Linked DNA regions of Nothobranchius furzeri. The protein of the gene in region 2 interacts with the protein of the main gene of each other region in a pairwise test. Links are inferred from orthologs where the notes say so. Each region holds a gene or a part of one and is shown on either strand. Other genes may lie near its edges.

What was found.
Region 1: the proteins of nfyc (region 2) and dr1 interact in binary tests that used the Homo sapiens proteins (3 or more experiments, as listed by UniProt). The link is inferred for Nothobranchius furzeri from reciprocal best matches to the Homo sapiens genes NFYC and DR1.

The regions. Positions count from the first base shown.
Region 1 is NC_091756.1:58,164,637-58,168,643, forward strand, and holds the start of dr1 (protein Dr1), read right to left. Parts: upstream 2,836-4,007; 5' UTR 1,779-2,835; coding exon 1,559-1,778; intron 1,458-1,558; coding exon 1,294-1,457; intron 1-1,293. UniProt on the Homo sapiens protein: The association of the DR1/DRAP1 heterodimer with TBP results in a functional repression of both activated and basal transcription of class II genes.
Region 2 is NC_091759.1:20,555,064-20,557,984, forward strand, and holds part of nfyc (nuclear transcription factor Y subunit gamma), read right to left. Parts: intron 2,909-2,921; coding exon 2,732-2,908; intron 1,010-2,731; coding exon 941-1,009; intron 606-940; coding exon 447-605; intron 221-446; coding exon 116-220; intron 1-115. UniProt on the Homo sapiens protein: Component of the sequence-specific heterotrimeric transcription factor (NF-Y) which specifically recognizes a 5'-CCAAT-3' box motif found in the promoters of its target genes.

The DNA.
Region 1 (4,007 bases), on a different chromosome or scaffold from region 2:
GCAATTTCCCACGCGAGTTGTCTCCGATCCAAGTTTTGTCTGCCAAAAAAAATAAACAAAAACAGCGAATTTGGGAGGCGCTTCACAGCCCAACTTAATTAGCATACCAAGTCCGACAAGTAGTTGTATATTCACGCTTATGTGCTTAAAGGAAACTCCCGTTTATTGCAACCCGGACTTAATTTCTAGCATGCAGTACGTTTGTTTACTCATGCTGACAACTTTGGTGCTACTTGGATTCCCCGGGGTATTTACCGTAGATCCATCGGCGAATCGCCGTCAGTGTATATCCGTATAACGGGTGCGGACGGGCACCCATGGTGCAGCCTCGAAATAAGACATTATCTGCACCAAAACATCTCAATGTCGAAAGGTTTTGTTAGGAATCATTAACGTGATTCCCCTGTTCGTTTGGAGCGGGTCTGGGATTTCTAGGCGTAAACAGACTAGCCGCGGCTAATCTAACCGGCGCTTTTAATGACGTCACTGCCGTGCGCTGGTCTGTTTTTATTAAGATTACCGGTAGATGTACCTTTGTCCTACTGAGGAGAAATTAGTTTTCTCCCTTTATTGACCAACAGAGTTGTTCAAAAGTACAGAACAAAACATATGGCATTACATCTTATGACAAAAATGCACCTTAAACAGAGTTTAAGCAGCAAAACATCACTCTGCAAATAGTGTATATATAGTGGGACAATTCATGATTTAAAGTGTTAACTTTCACCAGTTTTTGTATGCACGTTTAAAAAAATGCTGATACTTGAAAGGTTTAAGCACTTTACACACTTAATTCTTAACATTTAACTTTTGCAATATAAATTGAGGAATGTTATTTTTTGAATAAACTTGTTCAATAAATTGGTGTTTTTAAATAGTATCGAAATCGAGTACCGAGTTTTTTCCCAGTATCGAATCGAGTTTGAAATTTTAGTATCGTGACAACCCTAGAAGGCAGCACAATGACTTTTAATCTTTAAAAAGGCTAAACGTGAATAACATCAGCAATGAACTAAATCATCTGCTTCACTCTAATAATAACAGTATTTTTGTAACTTTGCACTTTGTTGTTCATTTGCGATGTTCACCAGGACGTTTCTTAAATGTTACGATGTGTTATTAATAAAAATGAATATAACTTTGTTGTTTTGTTTATTCTCAGCTATACAGATAAGTTTAAAGTACTAAATAAACACTCAGAGCTCATCCCAGGCCAACGATTACTGATTGGCAAAAGGGAAAACAAGAATGCTCATTCAAAAAGCACAAGCTTCACGCATGAGGACGTTTCACCTTTGCAAACAGTTCCTGTTGTTGTCTGAGGAGCTCCTCTTCCGGGATACCCAAATTCTCCAGTCGAGAACTGGCCTTCCTCCTCTTCAGAGCTACAGTTTTACACTCCTGCAGGACGTCTTTGACCTCCGTGATGTAAGACGCGAAACCGAGGCTCTCGAGGGCTGCGGTGCGAAAACAGGAGGTGAAAGTGCAATCAGTTAGTTTCAGCGGTTAGAACCAGGGAGGATGATACTCTTCCTGGTCTGGGTCGGGACTGACTCACCGTTGATGACATGCTCAGGAGATATGGTCTTTTTGTCGGATTTGTTGCATATTTCGTTGGCTTCCGAGGAAATGAGGTGGATGAACTCCGTGCAACAGTTAACGACGAGCTCCCTGGCGTCGTTGGCCACTCGAACGTTAGGGAGAGTTTCCTTAATCATTTTGTTGATGGCTGCTCTGGGGATGGTGAGGTCGTCGTCGTTCCCAGATGAGGAAGCCATCGTGGCACAAAAATAACTTCCAACTAGTATTAAAATAAAAATAAAAAAACGGAGCTCCGCTTCTTTAGTGTGTGGAAGTTACCAGAATTAACAAATGTCTATCTTCTTGAGTCTTCGGAGTACAAATAATAAAATGATCGGGTTGAGCAGACGTCAACACAAAGTTAATGTCATGAAGAGATGAGACGCTTCCTCAAAAGTTAGCCGGTTGGCTAACGGCTACTTGTGTGTTATAGCAAACAATGAGCCGCCTGACGATGTGACTTTTAAGGAATTAGAAATGAAAGCAAGTGTCACGGATATCTTCCACACACGCTGAACAAAAACACTTCACAAAACCCTAGTATATTAATAAGATGTATGTCTAATTAGCAACCAGGCTAGTAAAGCGGCTGCTGTTTTCTAGCCCCGCAGAACAGAAGTGAAAGCTGAGGCTACAATTAGGCTAACAATAAAGAGCTCTCTGATGTATGTACCGCTGCTCACACAAAGACTAGCTTTATGAAGTGCTTTAACACCACCGATTATTTTTATCTTACATTGCCAAATGAACCAAACAAATTACACAAACGGAAAACTTACAGTAAGGGATTTTAGGATAGCATTTATTCTTAGCAACATTAGCCTAAATGTGTCACGGATGCGCGTGACGAATAAACCGGAAACATGGCTTGGTAGTCGGAGTCTGAAATGAAACCCATCAGGAAATACTGCCATCTAGCGGAATCTTTGAAGACAACGCGTGCTGTTATTTTTGAACTGTGCTCAGTTGTACATTCACAGCTGGAGTAAGCTTTTCTAAACACTCCATAAAGCGTTACCAAAAAGAAGGCCGTCACAGATTTAAAAAAATAATCAAAAAACATTGTACAAATCGTTAAAATATTGAAAGTCACATTGTTTGCTACCTTTCATAAATAAACATTCTCGACTGACAAATGCAAATAAACGTATTCTTTTTTTGTTTGAGAACAATTATAGCTGTAATGTAAAAAAAACAACTACCACGTCTTTTGGTATTTAAAAATTGGACAAATATAAAAATAAGTACATGTGATTTCATAAGAGGGAACCCTCAAATTTCTTACCATGCTTTTATCTGATTTTAAGATATGTTGAAATAGCCAATGTGCATCTCTTTTTTAAGGGACTAATGTTAATCCAGCCTGAAGCAGAAATGTAAGAATTTTAAGGTGTTCGTTTAGTGATGACAAAAGCCGAACAATAAAAATCTTTATAACAGCCTGATGGTTGCTTTCAGCGTCAGCTGGACAACGGTCGCCCTCGCGTGGAGGTTTTGTGACATTACATCAAACTTCAAAGTCAGCTTTTCTGAAGATGCCGAAGATTTACACTAGATAATATGAGCCTTTTATTTCTCATTATAACATTTAAATATGTTCAAAAACTCAAGCTTTAAATGAATCACGCCAGCACTGTAACGTTAATACCAGAAACTAGTCACGATAACTAATAAATGACCTGCACTTGTGTAGATCCTTACAATCAGAGGACTCCAAACCACTTTACACTACACTGAATCCTTCATCCATTCAGACGCACATTCAAACAATGATGGTGATGAGCTAGAATGTACGGCTGCCCTGGAGCACACTGACAGAGGCGAGGCTGCATAGCACTGGTGTCACTGGCCCCTCTGACCCCCACCAGCAGGTAAGGTGGGTGAAGTGTCTTGTCCAAGGACGCAATACGTGACATGATTGGGGGAACCTCGGTTTGAACTCGTAACCTTAACCTCATCCTCTTAACCCCTGAGTCACCAAAATCAACCTTGATATATATTGTAATTTTAAAATGAAGGCACTTTTAAAAAGCTGATCTTAAAGAACAAACTTTGACGTGTTCATTTAGTGAAGATTAAAGCAACGATACTTTTGACTCTACAGGGTTTGATGGACTTTTTTCATGACTGCTGCAGCCCCAACTTTTAGATTTTTTAACAACATGACAAGAGAAAATAACATACAACCATAGCTGTCTATGTTCCATATAGCCTTTCCAAAACAGGCCCAGGATTTCTACAGTAAATCCTGATCCTCTCATGTCTTATCCTCTCATCCATCTCAGGTGTCCCACAGCGTTAAGCCTGTCTTTGTGTTTTATTTCTTAGAAGTCACCTTTGCCATGTTTCTGCTGCACTGTACAGCCGGATGCATATAAAACTAAAGGAAACACAAGCTGCCTTTGCTTCATCCAAGTTCTTCCCTA
Region 2 (2,921 bases):
TGACACGTTATTTGGCTTTATCGTGACTTGTGCACCCAGTGATTTTTTTATTATTATTTTTAATCACAACTCATGCAGACTGCAGCACACCGGCTGGTTTTGTTGCTTTGATTACCTGCTGGGTGTTTGTCAGAGTCTGAATCTGTCCCTGGACCACTTGCGCTCCGGAGACAGGCTGGGCTAGTCGGATGTATTGTAGCTGGCCTGTATTTAGCTGCACCTGCAGCAAACCGACACAAGGGGGAGACAGAGTTTCGCTCAGAGAAAAGGTCATTCAGACACAGAGGACAGCCATTTTCCTACCCTGGACAATGCAGGATTCTTCACTTCCTGCTTGTGAATGTTCCAAAAACATCCGTTTAGTTTGTTCTACAACCATTTATCTGATTTTTCTAGTGTTATCGCTTCGGTTTCCTTAATTCTCCCAGTTGGACACAAACTCTTACCGGGATTTGCTGAATCTCTCCCGTGTTGGTGATGATCTGCTGCATAACCTGCATGGTCTGGCCTTGGGCTTGTGCCGTCTGAGCTTGACCCTGCGCTGCAGCAGCCTGGACAATCTGCACCTGCTGGCCTTCACCCACCTGCATAGCAACAGGCGCACTCTTAAAGAAGAAAAATAAACACAAACAGGCGTCACGTGACTATTAGAGCTGGAAAAGAATGACTGAAATACAGTTAATCCATAAACATAAAGCGTAAAGTATTTACGTTTAACAAAATGTAATCAATGATTCTAAAGCTGGCTCCAAAAGATGTGACATCACAGGTTTCATGTCCTCTATTTCTCTTCTGTCTGTCACAGTATCTAGGAAAGGCCATCCGATCTCGTGCTGCAGACACCCCTAGAGAGTTCGGTCATCTGAGCAGCCCAGAGTTTGCAGGTGGTGGTCACCCACCGGGCCGCGGCACCGAGTAGACAAATAGTGCGTGTGTTTACCGTGATGGGTGTGCCTTGTGATTGCACTTGCACTTGCTGTAACTGCTGCATGTTGGCACCTTGCAACATCTGATGGCCGACAGAATAGGATGAAAAAATGAGAGAAAGACACACGGTGAGAGGGCAGCGATAGCAAAAACGTAACACACACATGTAAGCGTGAGCTTCAGGCGTTAGAATGGAAAACGGAGGATTTAAGCAACATTTAACGCCAAGAGAAGCAGGAGATTCAAAATGAAATGATGAAAGTTGATAAACACTAGAATCTGCTCTTTTTCAGCCAATTCCAGTTTCTGATGCCTGTTTAAATGTTATATTCTGGGTGCCTGGGTCTGGTTAAAAAACGACACTGAGTGTATAAAATGATCTTTACTGATGTCTGCATGCAAACACATAAAATGTGAAGTTTTTCTCCAGGCTTACGCTCTACTTCACCAACTAAACCCAGAATGTGCCTCATTTAGGGGCAATTTCAGTCTGTTTTTGTATTCAGAGCTAGAAAAAAAAGCACTGTTTACTGAGTAAACTTAAAAAAAAACTTTCTAGAGAATTTAAATTTAAACACATCGATTAATCCAATGTGCCACTGAGTAAATGTAAATGGGTGTGGGACAAAGTGACAAGCAGGACTGGGAATCACACGAGGCCCAAGCATGTCTGACAGCTCGGCTAGCAGCAGTCTGCTGAAGCAGCGTGAAGCAAGAGTGAAGCGGAGCGAGCTACGAGCAGGAGCCAAACTGGAAGGAAGCAGAACTAAAACAAGCAGGAAATGAACAATTCAAAACAGAGAGACAAGCGGAAGGACTACGGATTAGCTTGATGGGCGGTGAAAGCACCGTGAGCCAGGGGATGAGGCTCACTTCACAGCTAACTCTGAGAAACTGGAGGTATGTTGTTGTTTGGGTGCAAAATTAGAAAAAAAAAGGATTCACAGTGTTTACATTTCACTTCTATTTTGTTTTGGGTTCATTTTTTTATTTGTTTTGCATTTAGAATCTCTTTAATAACAATAAACATCGTTCAGTTTTATTTTGTAGTTTTCTGCATGAAGACTGACATCTTGTGGTGAACTATGGGTACTGCAGCCCTTGTATACAAACAAAAGTGACTGAAGACGATCATACACACCGAGTTGATGCGTAAATAAAAATGTTTCGCTGCAATATTGAGTTGAATAATATTGGAGGAAGTATCTTGAGATTTTTTTAGAGCCAACAAATATTTTTCATCCCCGGTTAGCATTGTTAGCTCAACGTTAGCCTCTAGTCTTCAATACCCAATATTAGAATAAAACAAAAAGACGTCGTGGCTTCTTGAGGGTACAGAATTAACTCCTGGTTCCTTTTACTGGCCAGCATTCTGTCCATAACGCTGCTGCTGTGAAAACTCACATACGATTGGCTCTGGAACCAGCGAGTATGGAGTTGGGGCAGATTGTAAACAAAGACCCTCTTCAGCCATTTTAAAAGGAGAAAACCTGAAGACCCCCAGAAAAGGAACTGTGTTTTGATGTAACTTTCCTTCCAGCATAATTAAGACATTGGAAGGTTTTCTGATCATTTCGCTGTGAAATTCTTACTTATTACGCCTTCAATGTTAACTAAAAAAAAAAAAAGTATGACTTCAGAGGGTCATATCTGCTGTATCTGCTGCTCCGCTCAGACAGACCGTACGTTCTGTTGTAACAGGGATGGACTCGAGTCTAAACCCCTTTACTCTTTAAAGCAAAGAGAGCTGGTTTCCTTCTGTTTTTGCTTCTTTACACCTTTCCCTCAACTCTGTTTAAAGCACCTGTCCTTGCTGAGGTTGCGTGATGATGATCTGCCCGGGCTGGATGGTCGTGGCCGTTTGCGTGCCGGGTTGCTGACCCTGCTGTGCGCCTTGCACCTGTACAGCTCCAGCCTGTTGGGCCAAGGTGAAGTAGTACTGCACCGGCTCTGCAGGAGCTACAGACTGACGCATCTCTTCCTGCAGGCAGGAC